7 linked regions of the Macaca fascicularis genome follow. The protein of the gene in region 1 interacts with the protein of each later gene in a biochemical or structural test. Links are inferred from orthologs where the notes say so. Each region holds a gene or a part of one and is shown in the gene's direction. Other genes may lie near its edges. The genes, in order: CDKN2A, TRIP12, CCND2, SERTAD1, E2F1, CDK4 and NPM1.

Evidence for each region.
Region 2: the proteins of CDKN2A (region 1) and TRIP12 form a complex in vitro, tested with the Homo sapiens proteins (2 studies listed by BioGRID). The link is inferred for Macaca fascicularis from reciprocal best matches to the Homo sapiens genes CDKN2A and TRIP12.
Region 3: the proteins of CDKN2A (region 1) and CCND2 form a complex in vitro, tested with the Homo sapiens proteins (2 studies listed by BioGRID). The link is inferred for Macaca fascicularis from reciprocal best matches to the Homo sapiens genes CDKN2A and CCND2.
Region 4: the proteins of CDKN2A (region 1) and SERTAD1 form a complex in vitro, tested with the Homo sapiens proteins (2 studies listed by BioGRID). The link is inferred for Macaca fascicularis from reciprocal best matches to the Homo sapiens genes CDKN2A and SERTAD1.
Region 5: the proteins of CDKN2A (region 1) and E2F1 form a complex in vitro, tested with the Homo sapiens proteins (2 studies listed by BioGRID). The link is inferred for Macaca fascicularis from reciprocal best matches to the Homo sapiens genes CDKN2A and E2F1.
Region 6: the proteins of CDKN2A (region 1) and CDK4 form a complex in vitro, tested with the Homo sapiens proteins (12 studies listed by BioGRID and IntAct, with this or other methods). The link is inferred for Macaca fascicularis from reciprocal best matches to the Homo sapiens genes CDKN2A and CDK4.
Region 7: the proteins of CDKN2A (region 1) and NPM1 form a complex in vitro, tested with the Homo sapiens proteins (3 studies listed by BioGRID). The link is inferred for Macaca fascicularis from reciprocal best matches to the Homo sapiens genes CDKN2A and NPM1.

Annotation. Positions count from the first base shown.
Region 1 is NC_088389.1:76,950,524-76,954,602, forward strand, and holds the start of CDKN2A (cyclin-dependent kinase inhibitor 2A), read left to right. Parts: upstream 1-1,279; 5' UTR 1,280-1,303; coding exon 1,304-1,429; intron 1,430-4,079. UniProt on the Homo sapiens protein: Acts as a negative regulator of the proliferation of normal cells by interacting strongly with CDK4 and CDK6. This inhibits their ability to interact with cyclins D and to phosphorylate the retinoblastoma protein.
Region 2 is NC_088386.1:125,855,031-125,859,160, reverse strand, and holds the start of TRIP12 (E3 ubiquitin-protein ligase TRIP12), read left to right. Parts: upstream 1-1,330; 5' UTR 1,331-1,399; intron 1,400-1,582; exon of another isoform or gene 1,583-1,670; intron 1,671-1,942; coding exon of another isoform or gene 1,943-2,038; exon of another isoform or gene 2,039-2,049; intron 2,050-2,553; exon of another isoform or gene 2,554-2,674; intron 2,675-3,184; exon of another isoform or gene 3,185-3,283; intron 3,284-4,130. Other genes in the region: FBXO36 (F-box only protein 36), read right to left, coding at 1,943-2,038. UniProt on the Homo sapiens protein: E3 ubiquitin-protein ligase involved in ubiquitin fusion degradation (UFD) pathway and regulation of DNA repair.
Region 3 is NC_088385.1:5,164,640-5,168,139, forward strand, and holds part of CCND2 (G1/S-specific cyclin-D2), read left to right. Parts: intron 1-2,049; coding exon 2,050-2,199; 3' UTR 2,200-3,500. UniProt on the Homo sapiens protein: Regulatory component of the cyclin D2-CDK4 (DC) complex that phosphorylates and inhibits members of the retinoblastoma (RB) protein family including RB1 and regulates the cell-cycle during G(1)/S transition.
Region 4 is NC_088393.1:47,526,844-47,531,082, reverse strand, and holds the start of SERTAD1 (SERTA domain-containing protein 1), read left to right. Parts: upstream 1-1,439; 5' UTR 1,440-1,557; intron 1,558-4,116; coding exon 4,117-4,239. UniProt on the Homo sapiens protein: Acts at E2F-responsive promoters as coregulator to integrate signals provided by PHD- and/or bromodomain-containing transcription factors. Stimulates E2F1/TFDP1 transcriptional activity.
Region 5 is NC_088384.1:89,710,102-89,714,256, reverse strand, and holds the start of E2F1 (transcription factor E2F1), read left to right. Parts: upstream 1-1,355; 5' UTR 1,356-1,476; coding exon 1,477-1,737; intron 1,738-4,155. UniProt on the Homo sapiens protein: Transcription activator that binds DNA cooperatively with DP proteins through the E2 recognition site, 5'-TTTC[CG]CGC-3' found in the promoter region of a number of genes whose products are involved in cell cycle regulation or in DNA replication.
Region 6 is NC_088385.1:64,568,384-64,572,405, reverse strand, and holds the start of CDK4 (cyclin-dependent kinase 4), read left to right. Parts: upstream 1-1,222; 5' UTR 1,223-1,346; intron 1,347-1,783; 5' UTR 1,784-1,802; coding exon 1,803-2,020; intron 2,021-2,175; coding exon 2,176-2,311; intron 2,312-2,428; coding exon 2,429-2,596; intron 2,597-2,753; coding exon 2,754-2,863; intron 2,864-4,022.
Region 7 is NC_088380.1:178,182,340-178,186,492, forward strand, and holds the start of NPM1 (nucleophosmin), read left to right. Parts: upstream 1-1,353; 5' UTR 1,354-1,450; coding exon 1,451-1,508; intron 1,509-3,554; coding exon 3,555-3,634; intron 3,635-4,153. UniProt on the Homo sapiens protein: Involved in diverse cellular processes such as ribosome biogenesis, centrosome duplication, protein chaperoning, histone assembly, cell proliferation, and regulation of tumor suppressors p53/TP53 and ARF.

The DNA of each region.
Region 1 (4,079 bases):
CCACCGCGTCCGGCTCCAAAGCATTTTCTTTCTATGCCTCAAAACAAGAGTGCAAGCCAATCCTCAAAACGGATAATTCAAGAGCTAACAGGTATTAGTTTAGGATGTGTGGCAGTGTTCTTAACTCTTATATGTATTAATATACAACAATTCATTTAAACTCACAACACCCCTGTAAAGCAGGGGGTACCCATATTCCCTTCTCCCTTTATAACTAAGAAAAATGCAAAGTATTTTCAGTAGGAAAGAGAAATGTGAGGAGTGTGTAGGAGACAGGACAATGTGTAAAGCGGGTCTTTGGATCACTGTGCAACTCTGCCTCTAGAACACTGAGCACTTTTTCTGGTCTAGGAATTATGACTTTGAGAATGTAGTCCGTCCTTCCAATGACTCCATCTCCATTTTCCTATCTGCCTACAGGCAGAAATCTCCCCCGTATTAAATAAACCTCATCTTTTCAGAGTCTGCTGTTATACCAGGCAATGTACACGTCTGAGAAACCCTTGCCCCAGACAGCCATTTTACACGTAGGAGGGGAAGGGGTGGAGAAGGAGAGGGTAGGCCAACTCTCCAAAAGGAATCCTTTGAACTAGGATTTCTGACTTAGTGAACCCCGCGCTCTCGAAAATCAAGGGTTGAGGGGGTAGGGGGACACTTTCTAGTCGTACAGGTGATTTCGATTCTCGGTGGGGCTCTCACAACTAGGAAGGAACAGTTTTGCTTTTTCTTATGATTAAAAGAAGAAGCTATACTTTCCCTATGACACCAAACACCCCGATTCAATTTGGCAGTTAGGAAGGTTGTACCGCGCAGGAAGGAAACGGGGCGGGGGGCGGGGGGATTTCTTTTTTTCTTTTTAACTGAGTGAACGCACTCGAACGCGCCTTTGCTGGCAGGCGGGGGAGCGCGGCTGGGAGCAGGGAGGCCGGAGGGCGGTGTTGGGGGCAGGTGAGGAGGAGGAGCCCAGTCCTCCTTCCTTGCCAACGCTGGCTCTGGCGGGGGCTGCTTCCGGCTGGTGCCCCCGGGGGAGGCCCACCCTGGGGCGACTTCAGGGGTGCCACATTCTCTACGTGCTCGGAGTTAATAGCACCTCCTCCAAGCACTCGCGAACGGCGCCCCCCTGCCTGGAAAGATACCGCGATCCCTCCAGAGGAGTTGAGGGGGACAGAGGCCGAGGGGGCTCTTCCGCCAGCACCGGAGGAACAAAGAGGAGGGGCTGGCTGGTCACCAGAGGGTGGGGCGGCCGCGTGCACTTGGCCGCTGCGGAGAGTGGGAGAGCAGGGAGCGAGCAGCCGGGAGCAGCATGGAGCCTTCGGCGGACTGGCTGGCCACGGCTGCGGCCCGGGGTCGGGTAGAGGAGGTGCGGGCGCTGCTCGAGGCGGGGGCGCTGCCCAACGCACCGAATAGTTACGGTCGGAGGCCGATCCAGGTGGGTGGAGGGTCTGCAGCGGGAGCAGGGGATGGCGGGCGACTCTGGAGGACGAAGTTTGCAGGGGAGTCGGAATCAGGTAGCGCTTTGAGTCTGGAAAAAAGGGCTTCCTGGGGAGTTTTCAGAAGGGGTTTGTAATCACAGACCTCCTGCTGGCGAAGCCCTGGGTGCTTGCGAAGCCAAGGAAGGAATGAGGAGGCACGCGCGTGCCGATCTCTCGAATGCTGTGAAGATCTGAAGGGGGGAACATATTTGTATTAGATGGAAGTATGCTCTATCAGATACAAAACTTACGAAGGTTTGAGATAAAACGGGAGTCTTAAAGAAATGTAAGATGTGCTGGGACTACTTAGCCCCCAATTCACAGATGCCTGGATGGAGTTTATCTTTCTTACTAGTAGGGATTATCAGTGGAAATCTGTGCTGTATGTTGGAATAAATATCGAATATAAATTTCTGATCGAAATTATTCAGAAGCTGCCGGGCGCAGTGCCTCACGCCTTATAATCCCATCACTTTGGGAGCTCAAGGAGCGGGGGGATCACCTAAGAGTTCGAGACCAGCCTGGCCAACAGGTGAAACCCCGCCTCTACTAAAAATACAAAACTTAGCCGGGGGGTGGTGGCAGGCGCCTGTAATCCCAGCTACTCGGGAGGTTGAGGCAGGAGAATCGCTTGAACCCGGGAGGCTGAGGTTGCAGTGAACAGCGAGAGGGAGCCACTTCACTCCAGCCTGGGTGACAGAGTGAGACTGTCGAAAGAAAGAAAGAGAGGGAGATTAAAAAAAAAAAAGCATTCAGAAGCAACTACATATTGTGTTTATTTTTAACTGAGTAGGGCAAATAAATACATGTTTGCTGTAGGAACTTAGGAAATAATGAGCTACATTCATGTGATCGTGCCAGAAGTAATATGTAGTCACCATTTTGGGAATATCTGCTAATATTTTTACTGTTTTGCTATCTTTAGCTTACTTGATAATAGTTTATTTTGTGATAGAGTTTTCAATTCCTCATTTTTGAACAGTGGTGTTTCTCCTCTCCCTACTCCGGTTTTGTGAGGGAGTTAGGGGATGATTTAAAAGTAATTAATGCATGGGTAACTTAGCATCTCTAAAATTTTGCCAACAGCTTGGACCCGGGAATTTGGCTTTGTAGTCCTAAAACATCTTAGAAGAGACCTTATTTGTTTAAAAACAAAAAGGAAAAAGAAAAGTGGATAGTTTTGACAATTTTTAATGGGGAAGGGAGAAGAACATGTAGAAAAGGGGAAGTGTTGTTGGCTTAGAATCCTAACTACACTGGTGTTTAATATAGGAACACTTATTTGTATAATATTTTTAAATGCTAAATTCATATCAATTTATTATCAAATGGGTTTAAGCATCCTACACATTTTAATTCAATGAATTCATTTTCTTTTTGCTTTGGATTTATATCATGATTTAAATATTTACATATGGGTTACTTTTTAGGTTTTTCATTCTATGAAATATAATAAAAACCTTTAAGGCTAGTTTTATGACCAAGACAAAGAGAACTTCAGTGAACACACGGAACAATAAATATGCTGCAACATTTTGTCTTTCTTTTTGTAGCTGCAATTTGGTTTGCTTATACTTTCTCTTTGTCTCTTTGAAAACTAAGTCAGTTTCACTTTCTCAGGACAGCATTTAATAACCATAATATAATTTAGTATAATTCCTTGATTTAGGCAAATTATGCAATTTGTGTTTAGTATGAAATGTACCTAAAAATAAGTAATTCCTCTTTAACACAACCATCCTCAAGCTAATATAACAAATAACAGTTATCCTAAAATAAATTGTTTATTTCCACCATGCAACACTCAAATTTTAAGGTTGCTATGACTGGAGACAGTATTTTAAAATTCCTCTCTGGAAATGGCTTTGTTTCCAAGATGATTTAGGAACCAAAAAGGTGACCATCTCTTGTTTAATGAACTCTCAAATCATAAACCTGGGAAGCCTTTTCGTTTCCTATTGCTGCTGTTACAAATTACCACAAATGTGTTAGCTAAAACAAACAAAATTATTATTTTACAGTACAGTTCTAGAGATCAGAAGTCAAAAATGGGTCCACTTTGGGAAACTCTAAGGGACAATCTGTTTCCTTGTCTTTTCCAGCTTCTAGTGACCATCAAATTCCTTGGCTCATATTCCCTGTATTTTCTCTGTGGCCTGTGCTTCCATTCTTTTATCTTCTCTCTGACTGTGACCCTCTAATAAAAACACTTGGGGTTCTATTGAGCCCACCCTGAAAATTCTGGATAATCTCCCTCAAGACCATTACTTAAATCACATCTGCAAAGCCTCTTTTGCTACATAAGTTAATAAATTAACAGTTTCTGAGGATCAGGACATAGACATTTGTGGGGGGGGACCTTATTCAACCTACCACAGGAAGGAATTTTAGGGCTAGTCTAGCATTCTTATTTTATACTTGAAGAAATTGAATTTTTGGAATTGGAGAGCATTATGCTAAATGAAATAAGCCAAACACAGAAAGACAAATATCACATGTTCTCACTTATCTGTGAAATATAAAACAAATACATTCTTAGCAGTAAAGAGTAGAATGGTGGTTGCTGGAGCTGGGGAGGGGGGCAGTGGGAGGAATGGGGAGTGGTAA
Region 2 (4,130 bases), on another chromosome or scaffold:
GTCAGGATCATAAATCTTAAAGCTGGCCAGGCGCGGTGGCTCAAGTCTATAATCCCAGCACTTTGTGAGGCCGAGGCTGCTGGATCACCTGATGTCAGTAGTTGGAGACCAGCCTGGCCAACATGGCAAAACCCCGTCTCTACTAAAAACACACAAAAAATTGGACAGGCGTGGTGGTCGGCGCCTGTAATCCCAGCACTTTGGGAGGCTGAGGCCGGTGGATCACTGGAGGTCAGGAGTTTGAGACCAGCCTGGCCAACATGGCAAAACCCTGTCTCTACTAAAAACACAAAAATTAGCTGGGTGTGGTGGCACACGCCTGTAATTCTGTGCTGGCACAAGCCAGCTACTCAGGAGGCTGAGGCAGGAGAATCGCTTGAACCCAGGAGGCAGAGGTTGCAGTGAGCTGAGTTTGCGCCACTGCACTCCAGCCAGGGCAACAGAGGGAGACTCCCTCTTGATAAATAAATAAACAAATAAATCTTAAAGCCAATGGAAAAATCAATAATCCGTTTAAAAAAGGTATGAAGCCGGGAGCGGTGGCTCATGCCTGTAATCCCAGCACTGTGGGAGGCCGAGGCAGGCGGATCACGAGGTCAAGAGATCGAGACCATCCTGGCCAGCATGGTGAAACAAGGTCGCAGTGAGCTGAGATCGCGCCACTGCACTCCAGCCTGGCGACAGAGCGAGACTCGGTCTCAAAAAAAAAAAAAAATGTACAAAAAAGGATGACTTTCAGTATTTCATAAATCACCAAATGAGCAAAAACCCCTAAAAACAGTTTAATTAAAAATTTGAGGCTGACTCTGGGCCCACTGCCTACGAATTAGCCCTGCTCCGCAAGGAGCAGTACTGTTTTTTAAAAAAATTTTTTTGGACAGTCTAATATTACATTTGTAATATTTCTAAATCTTAAAAAAATATATTAACATTTATATTTTAAAAGATGCTTTTAAAAATATAAAAAATTAACTCATTACCTATTTTGTTTAAGGGCTCCTGGGAAAATCGAGGGAATGATCAATATGCACACCAAAACAAATATATACAAACTTCTAAATTTCATTTTATAGGAATAGAATAGTATCTATTGCAAGCGCAGGGTGCATGAATAACTCAGTGACAGGCATAAGCTCAGCCAGGATTAGAAAACGTCTTCCCAATGGAGGCCCCGCTCAAGTTGAGAATTTCATGGACACAGTAAATCATCCAAAAGCCCACCTTCAATAACCAAAGTAGGCATAAAAATAGGCCGATGGTTACTTTGGAGATAATATAATCCTCGGTCTTATTGTTGTGGAGCAGATGTCATTATGGGTGGGGCTGAAGCGCAGAGCTGCTGAAACATTTTTATACCACCACCCGCACACTTTCAATGGGATAGAAGGGACTCAAAAAGGTAAGAGAAGAGCTCCCAATCGTCAATTGCTACTAGAAATAACTAACTTTTGATGTGGCCATGGCACGCGTAAAGGCCACAAAGAGATTTATAAAATTCTCCATGATTAATTCCTATCCTGGAAAAGAGGCAATCTCCTTTTCCCCTCCCTAGCCCGCTCCTCCTTGGGACACTTGGTTGAGTCTTTCTTTCCCTCCTTCTCACGCTGAGGTGAGGCCGCACGCAAGCCTGGGACGCCCGTTTTCCTCTTCGCGCGGAGGGAACTCTACGGGTAGGAAGCCGGGGTGGCGGGAAAGGAGCGCGCGGCACCGCGGGGAGGCAGAGAAGGCTTGCCAGGGACTAGCCGGGCTCGGGGAGAGCAGGGACACGCGGGCCGCCGGACCGAGGAGGCCGAGGTGACGAGGAAAATCTCCCGGCGCGGAGCCGGGACCGGGCGCTTCCGGCGGGCTACGGCTGCTCTCGGCCTAGCACAGCCTGGGTCCCGGGCCCCAACCGGGCCAGGTAGGGAGTTAGGAGAGAGGGTAAACCGGGGCTCGCACTTGCCTGAGACCGGGTGACCAGTAACTGGTAATAGTCTTTGCTGGGCGCCGGGCCTTGTCCTACAGTTTCAAACAGAGTCTCCGGCAGCCTCGACGCCATCTTGGGACGCCACCGCCGTCGCTAAGACAACCAGGAAGGGGCGGGGCTTGGTCGGGGTCAAGGGGCCAAAACCCTAGTTTAAATTGAACCACGCTTATGAGCTGGCAGAAGGATTTCTAACTTGGGGCGATTCTCCCCTTCTCCAAGGGTCTCAGGGAACCCTGATCCGTGAAATTTCCAGCTCCAGGTCCCGGGTGACCCGAAGGGGAATTAGTTCCTGCTACCACGGAGGGGAGGGGGTGATCCCGGCGGAGGGATACCAAGTGGAGCTCCACAGTCCCCTTCCTGGTCCCTCGAAGGGATCGGGCGGAGATCGGAGGCTGCTGGGAGAGTCGAGCCGGGCGGTAGGGGAGGGAGGGGCGATGTGATGGGCCGCCAGTAGGCAGCGGGGCCGGTCCCGCGGACGAGCCCGTCAACCAGAGCCCGAGGGCAAAGTAGTTCCCCGAGGGTGTCAGAGCGGGCGGGGAGGGAGGCGGCACGGGCGGAGGCGCACGCCGAGCGCGGTGCTGCGGCTCAGCTGATAATTGAAGGAACCCGGAGCCGCCGCTGCCGCCGCCGCTGGGGGGGGTGGGGGGAGCTAGTGGAAGTTACTGCCGCGCCACCGAGTCCGGACCGGAGACTTTGGGGCCTAACTAGGTAATTGGGGCGCAGCTCCGGGCGGCGGGGGCAGGCCTGGGGGGAGGGGGCCAGCTGAGGGTTTGGGGGGGCGAGGGGAGGAGCTGGAACAGAAAGTCCCAGGAAGCCCGGTTGTGTCATCGCCGCGATTCGGCCCCCGCTTGGCCTGCTCCCGGCGCCGGCGGCGGCGGAGCCGCGGAAGGACCGGGCCGGGGGTGGACGGGAGAGACGCTCGAGGGCCGCCGCGGCCGGAGGGACCGGGGCCCGGCGGGAGGCAGGGGTCTCTGGGTCCCTCCTCCGGCTCCCCGCAATGAGAAGGGCCCTTCAGAGAACCGGGGTAAGGCTTGCGGGTGTTGGGGAGCTCGGCGGGGGTCGAGAGGGGCCGGAAGTGGGCTTTGGAGCTTGGAGGGTGTCTGGGAAGAGAGAAAGTGGGGGGCCGGAAGTGCAGGTGGGGGGTGTGAAGACGGCAAGGGTTCCCCGGAAATGGGACGAGGGGCCCGGAAATTGGGAAAGGGGAGGCTCCGGGTCTGTGGACGGCCCGGAAATGGAAACTAGGGAGCAGCTCGAGTGACAACAGTTGTGGGAAGCGAGGGTCAGAGGAGGGAGAGGCCGGAGTGACTTTAGACCGCAGTAAGGGGTTTCCTGCCCAGGGGGACGGCGAGGGACGGTTGAGGGAGGGCGAGCCCGGAGACGGGGTCTGCGCGGGGCAGTTTTTTAAGCCGTGGGAAGTTGAGGCTGAGGGAGGATGATGACGAGGGGGGCATGCAGGGAGGCCTAAAGAAGCCAAGAAACTTGACTGAGAGGAATAGAGTATCCTTTTAAATAGATCAGAATGGAAATTGGTGGTAGGTGGGTTTAACTAGGACTTGGGGGAGGGAGGTGGGCCAATTGTCACCCCAATCGTATTAGCATTCAGAGCGAGTCAGGCGATTAATTTATTTATATGTGGATTACATAAAACCTATTACAACGTTTGTCCATCAGTGCAGCCCCTCTCCTTCCTTCTCCATAGTGAGTGGGTTTTCTAGTACAGGAACAAGTTGGAGGGGAGTTCGAATAACGAAGGTAGTAAAACCTCAAATCCTGTCTTCCTCAGCGTCTTTCCCTTCCTCAGAATAAGAAATCCTTCGTTTCTTAGACGGAAAAATACGGAAAAACATAAAAGCACATGTCAATGGGGGGAAATCACACGTTTGAACTGCTGGTGGGGGACAGGAGAGAATTGGTTACCTTACGTGGTGAGGAGAGAACGGAAGGGGCAGCTTCCAAACCCTTAAGACAGATCTGTTTGTTTTTTTGATAATGCTGTTTTACTTTGTCTGGGGGAGGTTTAGCCTAAGCATCGAGTCTGGTGGTGGGCATAGTTTAATTGCTTCGTTAGTTAACTCGGGGAGGGAATGTGTCTGTGTGTAAAGGTTGGGCCGGTGCGGGGGGGCGGGGGGGCGGGTACGGTTAATAGCGCAGTGAATCCGTTCTA
Region 3 (3,500 bases), on another chromosome or scaffold:
CAGGAACGTCTGACAGGTTTTAGCAATTCCTGGAGGCCAGTGCCTGACTCCGTTTCAGCCTCGTTCAGGGTGGCACGGAGACTCCTGCCGCTGGTTCACGTCTGTCATGCTCAGCGCTCGCCCCAGAACCGGACACACGATCTTGACACACACTTCACCAGTCTTGACTGAAGGCAATTCTATACCTCATTTCAAATAAATCTGAGGGATTCTTTCAGGTTCCAGGACCAATTTATTGTTACACATAATCATGATCATTTATCGAGCTCTACTTAGCACTGCACGTATATCAGTATCATCTCAGTTGCCCTTTACTCTGAGTGTTTTGTGGGGAAACTCTGAGATAAGAAAAGTTAAATAACGTGAGGGCCACCTGCAAGCATGGTAGGTGGGCAGCAAATACCACCCTTCCTCATCTCCTTGTTCCAGGTGACATTTTGTCTCTGCCTTTGACCTCTTAGTCTGTGGTTGTTCCTAATCTTAATTTTCACTGAAAGCTGTAGTCTGAAATGTGGAATAGACGAGCGATAGGAAAGGAACATTTGAGGGGTATGGAAATTTTGTTCCTTAGTGGTTAGTTGCAGCTTTATTTCATTTATTTATATGTTTGTTTTTAAAGATGGGGAACTAGCTATGTTGTCCAGGCTGGTGTCGCACTGGTTTCAACTTCCCGCCTCGGCCTCCCAGAGTGCTGGGATGACAGGCGGGAGCCCATATGCCTGGCCTGCTGTATTTTAGATCTTTGGGAAATAAAGAGAATGCTTTTGGACTTGGCAAAATAGAAACCTCTGGGTGGGGAGAACTGCACAGTGAAAGAAGCAAAAGGGAAGTTTGTATTAAACTATGAAAAGACACCGGGAGGTTCAATTTAACATATTTTGCTTATGTATGTGCTTCTTAAGAGAGTGCACAGAGGCACTTTTGCAGAGGAGAGAGGCCAGAAAATGCCTGTTAGAAGCAAGTCTACTGTTCGTACCCTCTTACTAACACCAGCAATGGTCCCTGTCTAGTGATACCGGTGACTTGTCATTGCATCGCATGTCACCTGCCTAAGGGAAGCTCCTGCCTGGGGCAAACACACTGTCCATTTCCCCTACAATATAGACGGATAACTAAAGCAATGCTGCATATTCTTGCTTATTCCCAGATTGGATGGCTCAAGGGTCCAGAATGTTGTAGACATTTTGCATTATATCTTTATGAGAGTTAAGGAAATGGTAAAGAAGCAGAAAAAATTGGGGATTTTTTTTTTTAAGTCTTTACAGTGAGGCACGGTGGCTCACGCCTGTAATCCCAGCACTTTGGGAGGCCGAGGCGGGCAGATCATAAGGTCAGGAGTTCGAGACCAGCCTGGCCAATATGGTGAAACCCCATCTGTACTAAAAATACAAAAATTAGCCAGGCATGGTGGCAGGCGTCTATAGTCCCAGCTACTTGGGAGACTGAGGCAGGAGAATCGCTTGAACCCGGGAGGCAGAGGTTGCAGTGAGCTGAGAACGCGCCACTGCACTCCAGCCTGGGGGACAAGAGTGAGAAAATGTATTTACAGTTTATGTGAGTGTCAGTACGTTGGTTCGTTGGCTTCCTTCTTATCTAGTTCTCAGGGGCTGAGTTTGCTAATGTCATAGCACCTCTAGTAGCCTTCCCCTTTTCTAGTAGCCACTTCCCAGCTTCCCCAGGCAGAAAGCATCTGGTCGGCCCCTTGATTACCAGGCATCCGTAAGTGGACCGTCATTTAGGCCAGTGCTTCTCAGAATTCCAATCACCTGGGCTCCACTAAAATGCAGGTTCTGATGAGCTCGACCTGGATTGACTGAGATCCTGCGGTTCCAGCGAGCTCGCAGGTAATGCTGACACTGCCAGCCCACGGACCCGACCTAGAGTAGTGAGGTTCCTTGGCACTTTAAGAACACCCCTCCTTTACTTCACATTTATTTCAACTGGGAACTAGCATAGACTTACGCAAGCTAAATTATGCATGTTTTCTTGGGAGGATGCTCTGTGTCCTGTTTCTCCTGCTAACAGCTCTGGTCTGGACCATTGTTCTAGGATTGTCTCAAAGCTTGCCAGGAGCAGATTGAGGCGGTGCTCCTCAACAGCCTGCAGCAGTACCGTCAGGACCAGCGCGACGGATCCAAGTCGGAGGATGAACTGGACCAAGCCAGCACCCCTACAGATGTGCGGGATATCGACCTGTGAGGATGCCAGTTGGGCCGAAAGAGAGAGACGCGTCCATAATCTGCTCTCTCCTTCTTTCTGGTTATGTTTTTGTTATTTGTGTTTTAGGATGAAACGTAAAAAAAAATTCTGCCCCCACCTAGATCATATTTAAAGATCTTTTAGAAGTGAGAGAAAAAAGTCCTATAAAAACGGAATAATAAAGAGCATTTGGTGCCTATTTGAAGTACAGCATAAGGGAATCCCTTGTATATGCGAACAGTTATTGTTTGATTATGTAAAAGTAATAGTAAAATGCTTACAGGAAAACCTGCAGAGTAGTTAGAGAATATGTATGCCTGCAATATGGGAACAAATTAGTGGAGACTTTTTTTTCATGTTATGAGCTAGCACATACACCCCCTTGTAGTATAATTTCAAGGAACTGTGTACGCCATTTATGGCATGATTAGATTGCAAAGCAATGAACTCAAGAAGGAATTGAAATAAGGAGGGACATGATGGGGAAGGAGTACAAAACAATCTCTCAACATGATTGAACCATTTGGGGTGGAGAAGCGCCTTTGCTCTCAGCCACCTGTTACTAAGTCAGGAGTGTGGTTGGATCTCTACATTAATGTCCTCTTGCTGTCTACAGTAGCTGCTACCTAAAAAAGATGTTTTATTTTGCCAGTTGGACACAGGTGATTGGCTCCTGGGTTTCATGTTCTGTGACATCCCGCTTCTTCCAAATGCAGTTCATTGCAGACACCACCATATTGCTGCCTAATGGGGAAATGTAGCTATGGGCCATCACCAAAACTCACATGAAACTGAGGCAGATGGAGACCAAGGGTGGGATCCAGAATGGAATCCTTTCTGTTATTGTATTTTAAAGGGTAATGTGGCCTTGGCATTTCTTCTTAGAAAAAAACGAATTTTTGGTGCTGATTGGCATGTCTGGTTCACAGTTTAGCATTGTTATAAACCATTCCATTCGAAAAGCACTTTGAAAAATTGTTCCCGAGCGATAGATGGGATGGTTTATGCAAGTCATGCTGAATACTCCTCCCCTCTTCTCTTTTGCCCCCTCCCTTCCTGCCCCCAGTCTGGGTTACTCTTCGCTTGTGGTATCTGCCATTCTTTGGTACACAGTTCTGGTGCTCCTCCCAGGACTCGAGAGACGCCCCTTCCTGCTGACATTCCCATCACAACATTCCTCAGAAAAGCCTGTAAACTACAATCTGTTACCATTCTGATGGCACAGAAGCATCTTAATTCCCATCTCTATACTTCTCCTTTGGACATGGAAAGAAAAGTTATTGCTGGTGCAAAGATAGATG
Region 4 (4,239 bases), on another chromosome or scaffold:
TGCCTGGCCAACAACTATCAATTAAATCTAGGTGAGAGAGTATTCAGGTGTGAGCCACTGCATCCAGCCAAGGGAGGAGTATTATACCCTGTCTACCTCTAGCCCCATCCTGCATGTCTATTCATCTTGAACTAAAAGCTTGTCTTATTACAACAGCTATTACTGCTAACAAGGAAACGTGTTGCTAACCAGGCACGGTGGCATGTGCCTGTAGTCCCACCTGCTTGGGGGTCTGAGGCAGGAGGATGGCTTGAACCCTGGAGGTCTAGGCTGTAGTGAGTTGAGATGGCACCCCTACACTCCAACCTGGGTGACAGAGCGAGACCCTGTCTCAAAAACAAAATAAAATAAAATAAAAAGTAAAGAAAAAAAAAAAAAGGCAGCTGGGCGCGGCATCTCAGGCCTCTAATCCCAGTACTCTGAGAGGGCGGATTACCTTAGGTGAGGAATTTGAGATCTGCCTGGCCAACGAGGTGAAAACCCACCTCTACTAAAAATACAAAAATTAGCCGGGTATGGTGGCACACCCCTGTATTCCCAGCTACTCAGGAGGCTGAGGCAGGATGATTGCTTGAACCTGGGAGGCGGAGGTTACAGTGAACTGAGATCGTGCCACTGCACTCCAGCCTGGGCGACGGAGTGAGAATCTGTCTTAAATAAATAAATAAATAAATAAATAAAATGAAAAAAACACAAAACACATTGCACCCCACTCTGAGGATTTTGCATGAATTGTTTTATTTAATCCTTAAAACAATCCTCTAAACTAGGGGCTATTTTCTCTCATGTTAAAGGAGAAAAAGACCCGAAGGGATTAAAACACTTGCCCCAGGTCACACAGCTGCTTAGGGAATGGAGCCCGGGATGTGATTCCGCACTCCCACCTCACTGCCGCCCTTAACCACAATTAAGTCCAACTGTCCAGCATTGCTTGAGTGTGGTATTGTGTTCTTATAGATACGATCCTATTTAAACTTTCTTGTCAAGAGGTATGCAAGACGATCCCCATTTAACTTTGTGTAGCTTGAAGAGGTTGATCATTTTTCCAAGGTCACGCATCGAGTGAGTGGGGAATCAGGAGTCGGAATTTGAACCCGGGCATATCTGTAGTGTAGACCACTGTCGGGGGTGGATGTGTAAGAAGCTTAATTGCCGGGTTTGGCAGGTGCATGGGTAGTTGTCAGGGGCTCGTACTTTGAGAGGCAAAAGCTCCCACTCGCCACCGTCCCCCAGAGTAAAAAGCCACCTCTTTCCACCCCTCACTCGCGCAGCTGCCCGGGCATGCGCCCAGAAGCCCCTCCTTCAGAATCCGCCCTTTACAGGCTCCGCCCATCACCGTAGAGGGCCAATCCCTGGGGCGGAGGGCGGGGCAGCCACGAGAGTGGGCGGTCGCTAAGGGTAGTTAGGAGTCTGGAGTCGTGAGCCGAAGTCAGAACTGCGTCTCGCGACCCAGGCGCCGGTTGCTGGAGGAGAGCGAGCAAGCGATGCTGCCGCTGCCGTTTCCTGATTGGTTGTGGGTGGCTACCTCTTCGTTCTGATTGGCCGCTAGTGAGCAGGGTATGTAAATGAAGGGGCCTGGGAAGAAAAGGGGTACCAACGGCCGGGTCCTTCACGGAGTTCGATCCCTGGGTCCGACAGGTGCCCGCCGGGGCTGCCCGGGATCGAGACGCGCGGGCCTCTACGTGCTGTCTGCCCCGGCCGGGCCGGGTGAATCACGCCGCAGTCCGAGAAGGGGGCGGAGGCGCCGGCTCCTTGGCTCCGGCTGCGTGACTCACCCGCCCCCGCCGCCGCCGCTTCGGGAGGAGCCGCCTCCACTGCCGGAAGCGAGCGGAGGCCGGGCGCAGAGAACAGCCCGCCTAGGGTCCTGGCTCGCACGGCGCCGGGAGGCCTGCAGGAATCACAGCCGGGAAGGGGGGCAGTAGAAGGGGTTCTGGGGTCAGAGGGGCCAGAATCCCCAGGGGAAAGCCGGCCTGGGCACCGCCAGGGGGCGCCGGGACTCGGGGGCGGAGTCGGGGGTGGGGGCGGAATTCCTGCGGTTCCGGACTCCACGGACTGCGGGGAAGGGGACGAAGACCCAGTTTTGAGTAGTGTGGTGGGCCACTCTTAAAATCTTGCTAGGCAGGGTCCCGGAACTGGACTCTGTTCAGTCTTCCTGGCCCAAAAAAGTAGGTAGCGCCAGGGGTCCAAAACTCCATCCAGCCCTACCCCCGCCACTCCAAGAAAAGAGTGGACCCTCAAACTTATCTCAGTGACTGACCCCGGTGCCGATCACGATTTCTCGACAAGCCCTGTCTATTCTGCCTCCCAAAGAAATCCTGACTCGACCGACTTCCTTCCATACCCACTACCAGCTCCTGCTCCAGGCCATCACTATCGTCAGTCCCAAACCAGTACAGCCTACTAGTGGGTCTCAGATCCCCCCTCTTTTTGCCCCCTACAGTATTCCTCGAAGCAGCCATGGGGGGGATCTTCCGGAAACCTAATCAGCTCACACCCCCATTCCCTCCGTGCTCAAATTCCTTTAATGACTGCCCACCACACTCAGGATAAAATCCAAACTCCCTACTAATGCATATGTGGTTTTCTGTGACCTGGCTTGTGCCCATTCCCCCAGCCTCTGGGCTTTTCTTTGCCTTTTTTTGTTGTTCCCTCCTCCCGGAATGCTTTTCCCAGGGTCTCCCATGGCCGACTTCTCTGGCCTGAGGGCTCCATTCAAATGTCACCTCCTTACAGGAGCCTTCTCTGATCATCTAAAAGGTCTGCAGGACCTTTTAGTGTCTTCCTGTAATTCTCCGTACATTTCCTGTGTTTGCTTATTTATTTACTGTTTGAAACGTCATAGTAGACAATAAGTGTTAAACTATGTGAAACTAGTTTAGTATTTATAATATAACTTACTTAGATATAATTATTTATAACGTTATTATAATATATGAAACAGCTGCTTTTGTAGGGGAAAAAGTTGAATGGTCATTCCACATGGTTCACTGAAGAAATAATAATGTTATCATTAAGTGTACTTATTGGCAGGGCATGGCAGCTCACACTTATAATCCCAGTACTTTGGGAGGCTGAGGCGGGAGGATGGCTTAAGGCAAAGAGTTTGAGACCACCCTGGGTAACATAGTAAGACCTTGTCTCTACAAAAAATAAAAGGGGGGAAAAAAAAGAGTGTTTATTGATTGAGGGGGGAGGATCACTTCAGGCCAGGGGGTTTGAGACCAGCCTGGGCAATATAGTGAGACCCCATCTCTTTTTTCAGATTAAAAAGTCTATAAATATACTTAAATACAAAATTTAAAATTTAAGGCCGGGCGCGGTGGCTCATGCCTGTAATCCCAGCACTTTGTGAGGCCGAGATGGGTGGATCATGAGGTCAGGAGATCGAGACCATCCTGGCTAACATGGTGAAACCCCATCTTTACTAAAAATACAAAAATTAGCCGGGCGTGGTGGCGGGCGCCTATAGTCCCAGCTATGTGGGAGGCTGAGGCAGGAGAATGGCGTGAACCCGGGAGGCAGAGCTTGCAGTGAGTGGAGATCGCACCACTGCACTCCAGCCTGGGCAACAGAGAGAGAGACTGTCTCAAAAAAAAAAAAAAAAATTTTTTTTTAAAGTCTATAGGCTGGGTGTGGTGGCTCACACCTGTAATCCCAGCACTTTGGGAGCCAGAGGTGGGCGGATTACTTAAGGTCCAGGAGGTCGAGACCAGGCTGGCCAACATGGTGAAACCCCACCCCTACTAAAAATATAAAAATTAGCCAGATATAGTGGCGTGCGCCTGCAATCCTAGCTTTTGGGGAGGCTGAGGCACGAGAAACACTTGAACCCGTGAGGCAGAGGTTGCAATGAGCTGAGATCACGGCATTGCACTCCAGCCTGAGCAACAGAACGAGACTCTATCTCAAAATAATAATAATAATAATCTATAAATATACATATGCAATTAAATAAAAATTGTCTATATCTTTAAAGTTCCCTAGGAAAAGCTAGACACAGAGAGGTTAAGTGACTTGCCCAAGATCCTACCTGTAGCAACTGTCAGATCCAGGCTTTGAACTGAATATTTGTTTTCTATAACTGACTATAACTCCATAACTCCCTGCCCTCTGCAGATGCTGAGCAAGGGTCTGAAGCGGAAACGGGAGGAGGAGGAGGAGAAGGAACCTCTGGCAGTCGACGCCTGGTGGCTGGATCCTGGCCACGCATCAGTGGCACAGGCACCCCCAGCTGTGGCC
Region 5 (4,155 bases), on another chromosome or scaffold:
AACCATAGTCTCCTTGTCACAGTCTAAGCAGCCTCTGGCTTAGCGTCTGTTTCTTTCATAACCTTTCTCAGCGCCTGCTCTCGGTCAGACCAGTGATGGGAGGAGTCGCTACTGAGCTCCTAGATTGGTAGGGGAGGCAGATGGAGAAAAGGAGTGTGTGGTCAGCATTGGAACAGAGGCAGCAGTGGGCAATAGAGGAAGCGAGTAAATCCTTGGGAGGGCTCCCCAGAAGTGATGTGTTTTGTTTTTGCGACAGGATCTCGCTCTGTCACCCAAGCTGGAGTGCAGTAGCATGATCATAGCTCACTGCAGACTCGACTTCTCGGGCTCAAGCAATCCTCCCAGCTCAGCCTCCCAAGTAGCTGGGACTACAGGCACGCGCCACCATGCCTGGCTAATTTTTGTATTTTTTGTAGAGACGGGTTTTCACCATGTTGCTCAGGCTGGTCTCAAACTCCTGGACTCAAGCGATCCACCCCGCCCTCTGATTACAGGGATTCCAGGCGTGAACCACCGCGCCCAGACGACGCTTCATGTTATTGTAAACGTTTGTTACCTTTCTGTTCCCGTCTACTAGACTGTGAGCTCCTCAGGGCCACGAGTTAAGGATGGGGCAGATTTAAGGATGAGGCACAGAGCAGGCTCTTCAAACGTTTGTTGAATGAGTGAGGGAATGAATGAGTTCAGGCCGACGCTTTACGTTGGCTGTTGGAGATTTTGGCTAAAATGGGACTTGCAGGAAAGCTTGACGTCCCCCCGCCATTTCTAGCCACCGCTCTTCAGCTTGGGCTCTGGGTGAGCGGGATAGGGCCGGGTGCAGGATTAGGATAATGTCATGGGTGAGGCAAGTTGAGGATGGAAGAGGTGGCTGATGGCTGGGCTGTGGAACTGATGATCCCGAAAAAAAAAGGGGGCAGTCTCTGGAAATCTAAGCTGAGGCTGTGGAAGGCTACAGGTTGAGGGTCACGTGCAGAACAGAGGCTCTGTTCTGAACCTGCACTATAGAAAGGGCAGTGGGATGCGGGAGCATCGGGGCGGGGCAGGGCGGGGCGGGGCAGGGCGGGGCCCGTGTTCCCGTGTCCCCACGCCTCCAACAGGGGACGCCCGGGCTGGGGGCGGGGAGTCAGACCGCGCCTGGCACCATCCGGACAAAGCCTGCGCGCGCCCCGCCCCGTCATTGGCCGTACCGCCCCGCGCCGCCGCCCCATCCCGCCCCTCGCCGCCGGGTCCGGCGCGCTAAAGCCAATAGGAGCCGCCGCCGTCGTTCTCGTCACGGCCCGGGCAGCCAATTGTGGCGGCGCTCGGCGGCTCGTGGCTCTTTCGCGGCAAAAAGGATTTGGCGCGTAAAAGTGGCCGGGACTTTGCAGGCAGCGGCGGCCGGGGGCGGAGCGGGATCGAGCCCTCGCCGGGGCCTGCCGCCATGGGCCCGCGCCGCCGCCGCCGCCTGTCACCTGGGCCGCGCGGGCCGTGAGCGTCATGGCCTTGGCCGGGGCCCCTGCGGGCGGCCCATGCGCGCCGGCGCTGGAGGCCCTGCTCGGGGCCGGCGCGCTGCGGCTGCTCGACTCCTCGCAGATCGTCATCATCTCTGCCGCGCAGGACGCCAGCGCCCCGCCGGCTCCCACCGGCCCCGCGGCGCCAGCCGCCGGCCCCTGCGACCCTGACCTGCTGCTCTTCGCCACACCGCAGGCGCCCCGGCCCACACCCAGTGCGCCGCGCCCCGCGCTCGGCCGCCCGCCGGTACGGACCCCAGGGACGACGCGCCGACAGCGCCTCCTGTGCCCCCCGCGCAGACCCGGGAGGGCGCCGTGTTTGGCCTGGAGGCGGCAGGGGGCGGGGGAGGGGTTGACTGAGGCGCCCAGGCTGGGCGGTGCAGAGCCGGGGTTGGGCCTGCGGGCCCCGCCCTGGGGTGCGGGGTGACCTCGGGCCGGTCCCTGTTTGCTCCTCTGTGCTCTGGGCCTCAGCTTCCTCACTGGAGGCTCCCCAGCGTCAGACTCAGTGATAATAATAACCCACGTGTATTCAACTGGCGTTTACTGCATGCCAGGCCTTCGGCCGACTTCAAGTCAGCTAAAACTCACAACCCCGCTGTGAGCTGTGTTGTCACTGTGCCCATCTGACGGAGGAAGAACTGAGGCCCAGAGAGGGGAAGTGACTTGCCCCTGGTCATACGGCTGCAGGTGGTGGGGCTGGGATTTGAACTGAGGCCTGCTGGCTTCAGCTCAGAATTTGCATCTCGGTAGTGAGCACAGCTGCTAGGGGAAGTGAAGGCGGGGCGGAGGAAGGTCCTGGGGCCTAACCGTTGGTGAGCCATTGAGGAGACCCTCCTTCTGCCTCGATGCTGACTGCCAGGTGCAGGCCTGGCTGGCCAGGCCTCTGGGGACAGCCCTCCTGGCTGGGAGGCCTTCTCTGCAGGGGCGGGGCAGCTGGACCAGCTGCAGGTCCCCTCCCTCTGCCTGTCCTTCCATCTGCCACCCTCCACCCTCCCAGGCCCTGGTTGCCATGGAACCTCATTAATCAGGCAGGCCGACCCCTGAGTCTCTGTAGAAGGACTAGGTGGGCTGGGCCTCTGGGAGCTGGAGAGGCCCCCAGTGCCAGGAGAGAAAATGTCCCAGGGAGATCCTTTAATAAAGTCCTCCCTGATCGCTGAGCTCAAGACCAGTTCAGACTGGGGGGCCCAGAAGAGGCGGCTGAATTACAGTGGGAGAAGGGATTGGAGGTGTAGAGCTGGGACCTGTGGGGCGCAGGGCAGGGTGTGGAGACCAGTTTGACTGGCGCAGCCTATGGGTGAAGGTGGGGCTCTGGTGTGCAGGCGGGGCCTGGCCAGGCAGGATGGGGTCTCAGCAGGGAGCTTGAAGCAAGTGGGAGGGGTGAGGCAGGACTCAGGACAAGGAGGTAGAAGCTGCCTAACTGCTGATGGGGGTGTGGGTGGCAGCTGGTCCCTGAGGCATCCTGAGGAGGCTCCCCCAACCCCCTTGGCCCCATGCCCAATGCTGCCTTCCGGAATCACCACAATGCTAATAATAATAACAATAGCAGCCACCATTGTTTTGAGGATGTCTTGTGTGCCAGGCTCTGTGCCAAGCACTTTACCTAATTAACTCATTTAACCCTATCAGCAGCAGTCCCTTTTTACAGATTGGGAAGCTGAGGCCTAGAGATGTTAGAATCTTCCCATGTCATTCTGCTCTTGAGTGGGGAGACCAGTCTGCATTTTCTGTGAGGTTGACCTCTGGGACGCCTTGCTTCCTAGAGATGCTGATAAAGGTTGGAGAAAGGGCAGGAAGGGCTTTTAGGGGCCCTTCCTCTTAATGAGTGGGTGGGAGGGGTTTGTACCAGGGGTGGACCAGGTGGCCTGTCTCCTGTACTCCAGGGACCTGTCCCTGTGGGTACCGCTTGGGACCTGGGCAAGCATCTTCCATTCAGTTGTGTGACAAGCATATAGCAGGCTCAGGTCTGCAGAAACCTAACAGAACCCGAGGGTCTTGTCCTCAAGTAACTGAACAGGATTATGGGTTCTAGGATCAAAGGGAGGGACAGGGGCAAAGAAAAATGCCCTCCGCGCCACCTGTCAGGGGCAGGCTCATTGGCTTGGGCACTGCATTCATTCAACGGTTGTTGAATTAGTGAATGCCCAGGAGGCACTAGGCACAGAGACAAGGAGCCCCGGCTCCCAGAATACGTAAGGGCCAGGAGGCTAGCACCATTCTGGAGCTGAAGTCCAGAAAGTCCACAGGTTCGGCTTTTGGCCTCTCTGCACTGGCATTTGTCTGGGGCAGTCCTTGAAATAAGCTACAGGCTTAGCTTCTATACCAGCAGGCATTCGTTGAACACCTGTATATAACGCTCTGTGCGATTTGGCCATTCCTCTTGGCCCTGCCTGTCCACTTCCACAAACTCAAGTATTATAACTATAATACGTGTTTACTATGGAAAACTTAACTTTTTTTTTTTTTTTTTTCCGGAGACAGGGTCTCATTCTGTTACCTAGGCTGGAGTGAAGTGGCGTGATTGTGGCTCACTGCAACCTCCGCCTCCCAGGTTCAAGCTATTCTGTGCCTCAGCCTCCCAAGTAGCTGGGATTACAGGCGTGTACCACCACGCCCAGCTAATTTTTGTATTTTTAGTAGAGATAGGGTCTTGCCATGTTGCCCAGGC
Region 6 (4,022 bases), on another chromosome or scaffold:
AAAGTGTGTTCTGGACACCGCTAAGTGCTAAGAAAGAGGCACTAGGGAAAAAGAGGGAAGCACAATGACTCCAAATGAGCAGTCACAAGGTTTACAGAAGGAGACATGTCATTTTCATTCATTGTGGTGGTCTGGAGGGTGCAGGGGGTGTGGTGGTAACTTTCTTGCACATGTACACTCCTGTATCCATCTTATATATTACATGTAATAAATAATATATACATACATATATACATAGAAGTATATATACACATATAAAAATATCACATAATCATAGAACCGTCCTACTGGGGAAAAAAAAAACTTAAAGGTCAAGTATTCCTGTCTCCTGCTCATTAATAACTTCTCTGCCAGATGGCCTCAGGTCTTTGCATTAACACTCCCAGGGAGATTTGGAAGTTGAGAAAAGAGGGGGCATTACCTTGTCACTGAACCTGTTGGATTACTGTATTAATCTGCCTTCTGTCCGTCCTTTAATCGTAGTTTTGCCCTCAAATGGGCATTGTTTACTCCCTATTTTAGAAGACCCCATTGTTGGCTACATCTTTCTAGATAGTCGTACCACTACTTTAAAGGGCCAGTGACAGACACCAGAAACAAAACAAAATAAAAACCCACATACACACTGGAAGCAAGCACTCAGTAAAATGTTGTAGAATTAATGAATGAATCAATGACACAAATGAGAGTATGTTTTATCATGGTGGAGCGAAAAGGTGACAGCATCACCTCTGGTACCCCAACTCCCATTCCCTCCCCAATGTAGACAGGCTGAAAGACCGGTAGTGAGACTGGAGTTCAGCCTTCAGACCGGTAGTGAGACAATCCTTCAGCCGGGAGTTGGGCTCTGGGTGGCCTAGGTTGCCATGGCACCGCCTCGGGCTCCACCCTCTCTTGTCCCCTTACCGCGCCCCCCCGCGGCGGGGGTTGTGGCAGCCAGTCATGTGCCCGCCGCGTAACCACACCTCTGCTCCTCAGAGCAATGTCAAGCGGTCACGTGTGATAGCAACAGATCACGTGGCTACCATCGCCCCTCCGCCCCCTTACACTCTTCGCCCTCCTCCCCGTCAAAGCGGCTCCTGGCCACCCCTCCGCGCATGGGTGGCAGTCACGTGCCCAGAACGTCCGGCGTTCGCCCCGCCCTCCCAGTTTCCGCGCGCCTCTTTGGCAGCTGGTCACATGGTGAGGGTGGGGGTGAGGGGGCCTCTCTAGCTTGCGGCCTGTGTCTATGGTCGGGCCCTCTGCGTCCAGCTGCCCCGGACCGAGCTTGGGTGTATGGGGCCGTAGGAACCAGCTCCGGGGCCCCGATAACGGGCCGCCCCCGCAGCACCCCGGCCTGGCGTGAGGTAAGTGCAGTCCCTTCCCGGGAATGAGAACCAGTGCCCGCCCCCCTCACAGTTTTCCACGCGTTCGTTTCTCGAGCTGGTTATGGAGGGGTCGCTCAAGGGCGGGAAGTGGGGCCTTTGTGGTCATGGGAAAGTATAATTTTAGGGACTGAGGTGTAGGATCTTTGATGCAAGGCATGTGTCATGTGTGATCTTTGTGCAGGGCGCGATTGTCCCAAAGGAAAATGCGTTTTTTATTGCAGGGCCTCACGTGGCTGGAGGGGTTGGTATTGAGTCATTGTGTTATCTCTGGGGCCGGCCCCAAGGAAGGCTGCGAGCGGGGGATGGGATGCTAGTGTTGCTCTTTGTGCTTTTTTTTGGGAGTCCTTTTGTTGCTGCAGGCTCATACCATGCTAATTCTGTAAGGGACTTTTGGTGATAGGAGTCTGTGATTGTAGGGTCGCCCTTGATCTGAGAATGGCTACCTCTCGATATGAGCCAGTGGCTGAAATTGGTGTCGGTGCCTATGGGACAGTGTACAAGGCCCGTGATCCCCACAGTGGCCACTTTGTGGCCCTCAAGAGTGTGAGAGTCCCCAATGGAGGAGGAGCTGGAGGAGGCCTTCCCATCAGCACAGTTCGGGAGGTGGCCTTACTGAGGCGACTGGAGGCTTTTGAACATCCCAATGTAGTCCGGTGAGAAGGTGGTGACGAGGGGAGTGGGGAGTAAAGGGAAAAGACAGCCTATAGGTGGGGTGTGGTGATCTGTAGAGAAGTGGGGACCCTGAGGAAATAATGAGAGGCCATGTTGGGTTAAAGGGGATTGAAAAGTGAGCATTTACTCTGGCCAGGCTGATGGACGTCTGTGCCACATCCCGAACTGACCGGGAGATCAAGGTAACCCTGGTGTTTGAGCATGTAGACCAAGACCTAAGGACGTATCTGGACAAAGCACCCCCACCAGGCTTGCCAGCCGAGACCATCAAGGTGAGTGGGCTTGGTAGGCATTGAGAGGTGGATTGGGACCTTTGTAGTAAAACCTCCTGGGATTTCAGGTATGGTGCCTAGTTTCCAGTGCATCTGTACCTCCCCCTTCTAAACTAGGATTTGATGCGCCAGTTTCTAAGAGGCCTAGATTTCCTTCATGCAAATTGCATCGTTCACCGAGATCTGAAGCCAGAGAACATTCTGGTGACAAGTGGTGGAACAGTCAAGCTGGCTGACTTTGGCCTGGCCAGAATCTACAGCTACCAGATGGCACTTACACCCGTGGTCAGTAGAAAGATGGTACCAAAATGGGTTCTGGTTGGGAGTAGGAGAGTGATTGCCTGTAGCAATTGAGAAGTCATGTGCTTCATGTGTTCAGTCAAGCAAGTTGTGTTTTGTGGTAACCCATGGAGTCCCCATCCATTCTTCCTATTCTCTTTAGGTTGTTACACTCTGGTACCGAGCTCCCGAAGTTCTTCTGCAGTCCACATATGCAACACCTGTGGACATGTGGAGTGTTGGCTGTATCTTTGCAGAGATGTTTCGTCGAAAGTATGGGACCCACATACCCTGGACCACCTTGAATTCCCCAAATTGCTTGTTCATAAACCACGTCCACACCCTGCCCATTCTTTCTTTTTCTTTTTCTTTTTCTTTTTTTTTTTTTTTTTTGAGACCAGGGCTTGCTTTGTTGCTCAGGCTGGATTGCAATGGCATGATCACAGCTCACTGCAGTGTCAACCTCCTGGGCTCAAGTGATCCTCCCATCTCAGCCTCCCAAGTAGCTGACACTCCATGCCCAGCTAGTTTTTTAATATTTCTGTAGAGGGGGGGGGTCTCAGTATATTGCCCAGGCTGGTCTTGAACTCTTGTACTCAAGCAGTCCTCCCACCGCTATCTCCCAAAGTGCTGGGATTACAAGCGTGAACTACTGGACCTGGCCCCATTCTTTTACTTGCATACTACTGACTACTTTGCCCATAGCAGAAAGCTCTGAAATGCTCTAGAATTAGGAACTTCATATCCCTTTATTCTCTTTTATTTATTTATTTATTTTTGCAATAAGGTTTCACTCTGTCACCCAGGCTGGAGTGCAATGGCCCAATTACAGCTCACTGTAGCCTCTATCTCCTGGGCTCAAGCAATTCTCCCGTCTCAGCCTCCTGAGTAGCAGAAACTATAGGTGCATGCCACCATGACTGGCTTTTTTTTTTTTTTTTGAGACGGAGTCTCGCCTTGTCGCCAGGCTGGAGTGCAGTGGTGCGATCTCAGCTCACTGCAACCTCCGCCTCCCAGGTTCAAGTGATTCTCCTGACTCAGCCTCCCAAGTAGCTGGGACTACAGGTGCGTGCCACCACGTCCAGCTAATTTTTGTATTTTTAGTAGAGACGGGGTTTCACCATGTTGGCCAGGATGGTCTCAATCTCTTGACCTCATGATCCGCCTGCCTCAGCCTCCTAACGTGCTGGGATTACAGGCGTGAGCCACTGTGCCCAGCAATTTTTTTTTTTTTTTTTTTTTAAGAGACAAGGTCTTGCTTGCCCAGGCTGATCTGGAACTCCTGGGCTCAAGCAGTCCTCTCACCTCAGCATCCCAAAGTGCTGGAATTATCGACCTTTATTCCCTGTGCTTTCTATTTTGGGCCACTAAGCAGTAACCATTCAACTAAGATATCTTTGAAAATGACTGCTACCTTATGTCCCTTCTCACC
Region 7 (4,153 bases), on another chromosome or scaffold:
CTTGAGCCCGGGAGGCGGAGGTTGCATTGAACCGAGATCACGCCACTGCACTTCAGCCTGGACAACACTCAACACTGCAAGACTCTCTCCACAAAAAAAAAAAAAGAAAAAAAAACATAACAAATTTAGTGACTCAAAGCTTTATGTGACACAGGCGCTCTCAGAAAGGAAGAGTTAAATTATAACATATCCATATTATGCGTTAGTATGTGTCAAAACTAACGCATATTATGGATATGTTATAATTTAACTGTTCATTCCTCTTTTGATGGATGCTGAAATCGTCTGTATAATTTTCTTGTAAGAAATAATGCCTTGGGGTGGGGGGGTCTTCCTTTCTGAGGCTATCATTTATATTCTTCACTTCTTAAATTTGATATGTTGAGGCTAAAAAAAAAATTATGGGTCTTCAGAACGCCCCAATGCCCGGGGCTGCTGGGGTACCTCGGAGTTTGTCAACGTGTAGCTTAAAATGTTAATTCCCATACTCGCTACCAAATATTCGATTAAGGCTTCTGTAGTTCTTATAAGTCACTCGCTTTCTTTCAGGAGGAATCCTAAAGATTAAGAGCGGCAAGAAGTCAAGAGTCTGCCCACCCTCCGAGCTCTCTTAGGGCGATGTCCTTGCTCATTTGGAGACTGATTCAGTCCCCTTTAGGCCCCCAAATTACATAAAGATGAGGACTTTGGAGATGTTTTCTCAGGAAGGGCAGAACTGTAAAAACACAGTTCCGTAAGCCTGGCCGGTAGCTACATCTTTCCTTCCTAACAAAGAATAAGCCGCAATTCACTCTCCGGCACCTGAACTTTGGGGTAACGATTAACTGCGATCCCAAGCCTTCAGGCAAGTAAAAAAAAATCCTGAAATGATTACGCCTGTTTGGAGGTTTGCAAGGCACTAGGGTATGGGGGAAGTGAATCGAGGTGCTCTCCGGCTCATTCCCAGCCAGCTAACAACCCGCCATATCTAACACAGCTAAGAGCTGCCGACGCCATTTTGCAGGGTGGGCTACGCAGACTCTTGGCGGGAGGCCGGAGCGCTTGAGCGGGAGAGGACGTGGAAGTGTTGGAGGTGGGGAGCGCGCGTTACGACTGGAAAGCACGCGTGCGCACAGGCGACAGCGGTGGAGGGGTGGGGCCAGTGTACGAGTGCGCGTGCTCGGTGGGAGCCCGCGGAGTACCTGGAAGGAGGTGGGGGGCGAGGTAGAAAGGAGTGTGGTTGAAGAGCGCTTGCGCAGGAGAGCTACGGTACGGGGGTGGGAAGGCTCCGGAGCACGCGCGCGGAGGCGGGACTTGAGAAGCGCTCGCGAGATCTTCAGGGGCTATATATAAGCGCGGGGAGCTTGCGTCCTTTCCCTGGTGTGATTCCGTCCTGCGCGGCTGTTCTCTGGAGCAGCGTTGGTTTATCTCCGTCCGCCTTCTCTCCCACCTAAGTGCGTGCCGCCACCTGATGGAAGATTCGATGGACATGGACATGAGCCCCCTGAGGCCCCAGAACTATCTTTTCGGTAACTGCAGGGGGGAGCTGGAGCGAGGCCGAGCGGGGCCTGGTGGCGGTGAAGGCGGGGGTGAGGGGAGGGAATCCGGCTGCAGCAGGGTCTGGTGGAGACCGCCAGACCGGCTGGAGGCCTGAGCGGGTGGGAAGAGCTGCCCGAGCCCTGGACCTGGTGGGATTGGAGCCGCGGGGGGAGCCGGAGGCGTGAAGGGGGAGGAGACGAGCGGCCTGAAGCGCCTGGAGCGTGAGCAGTCCGAGGCCCAGGGCCTGAGGTGTAGCGGAACTGGCCGCCTGGAAGTTCGGCCGTTGCCGGGGATACGCCGCGGAGCCCCAGGCGTGGTTTATTTTCTAACGGAGTTCGTTCGTAGGCTTCTGATCCCAGGCCCCGGGTTGGTGGTCCCGGAGGCTGGGTTTACCGGGAAGCATGGGCCTGCTTGTTGGAGAGGGTAGATGCACAGCCTGGCGTTGTTCTGACCTGAGTCTGGAGCTGCCGGACCCAGACTTCACTCGCGTGCTTCGGCCAGTTACTGGGGGAGGGGAGGCGCGGCGCGGCGTGAGGAGGCCGCAACCGCTGGGAGCACGTGGTTGCCACGTGGTTGGGGGAGGGAGGGGGGTGTGGGCACTACATCCGGGGCTCACCAGCATGTTGTTACTCCAGATCAAGGGATGCTGTGGCTCAGTTGAAGTGGGAAATGTTAAGAGGCTGGTAACACTAGGATTCTGGAGGCCTTTGTTCAGTGCTTACAGCATCTACTGTGATGGCAGCTCTTTTTTTTTGAGCCCCTTTTCTGTCTCACTGCAGTAGCTGGAGCTAGCCCCACTTTGCAGATGACGGCACTGGTGCCCAGAGATTAACTCACTTAACGAAGGTTGTACTTATAGGCAAAGAGGCTAAAACTAAACCAAGACCCTTGACTCGTAGCTGCTGCTTCGTGAATATTAATGAGGCTTCGTTTTAGGGGGACGTCCTCGCATGCCGCCATTTGTGCAGCATTGACCAAACCGCTTATTTAAATACAAGAAACACGTAGAGTGTTCGATTTGAGTCAGATCAAGACCTAAAACTATTCGCAGAATTTTGGGACCACCACCACCTTCGACTTGCGGTAGCCCTGCCCCAAAAAGGAGAGTCCCACTTGGGTTTTTAATGTCAGTAGGTTTAATTACAGAAGCCTAATCTTTATACTATTCAGACTTTGAAGTAAGTGCGAATCCTACCGTGAATTTTATCTTGTTCATTATCCGTGCTGAGATTTGTTAATTAAACCTCTTCACATTTAAGCATGTATATGTATTGGTAACAGTTAGATGGTAGTTAATGGAATTATTTAAAATTTTTATTCTGACAGTATTTTAAAGAATTTTGCCCATGCATGGATGGAGTGGCAGTAGACACATGTATTTAAAACATTAAGGCTTTAATTCCTAGCTGTTTTGGATAACTGAGAATTCTGATAAATTTATATCAGTACTTTTTGATAACTGTTGGAAACAACCCTCCTTGTCTTAAACATAGTTTCTGAATATAGTTTCAGGCGTATGTCACTTTCTGTTGCTTTAAAGAGTAGAGTGTTGACCCCTGTAGCAAGCTTTGGTTCTTTTACCTTTGTCGTTTTTCTTTTGTAATAGTAAGCTATTCATGTTTGTAACCGTTCTCATTTCGAACTTTCCATTTGGGAATTTAGGTGGGTAAATCAGCTGTTTTAAATAGTGGGAAACTTAACATTGGACATTACATTTGGTTTCAGGTAATTGTTTTAGGTTCAGATTTACTAAACCGTTGAGCTCGTTTCTGTATGCAGAATAACAGTGCCTATCAGCGTAGTTAGAGATGAAATATGGTATGAGGAGAAGATAGAATTGTAGACTTCTATGGGTGTTACTTGTTTGTAGAGGTTTCTGTTCAAGAAATCTAGGAATTGATCATTCTGCTTTGCCCTCTGGTAGCTAAAATTGTGAAAACTAGTTCAAAAGTTAGACCTGACCTTTTTGGTTACCCACACTTAAGTTTCAGTGTTATTTTTCTCCTTGTTAGAGTTGCTTTTTTCTTCATTTACAGGTTGTGAACTAAAGGCCGACAAAGATTATCACTTTAAGGTGGATAATGATGAAAATGAGCACCAGTTATCTTTAAGAACGGTACTTAAACTTTCAAAATAAACTACTTAACCCTACTTGATTTCAGCCTTTTAGTTTCTATTCATGTGGCTTGAGACTTTTCCTTTGCTGACTGCTTATAAAATACTATTTCTTACACCTGGGTATTGTGTGTACCTCACTGTCTGTACATCTTTGATGAAGAACTTGGCATCTATACTCATTTGGTAACCATGTAAAATCCAGTCACATTGTTAAACTTGCCTTATTTTCTTCAGTTGGATTATAAAGCCCTTGTAAAAGGCATCGATAATCTTACATGTCTACCAGAGACTAGCTTTTCTCTCAACTTAGAAGTTGCTCAATAAATAAGTTAGGTGATCTATATTGTGTGTATGCATATTTATGCATTTGTTAAATTTTCTGAATATGAGAAATTGATTTGCCAAGATCACAAAACCTGAGGATAACATTGCACAGATTTGTTTTCTGAGGTAACAGTGATAGGTTTATACTTGTATTTTTAAAAAATCATAGTCATGTGCCTCATTGCAACTGTTG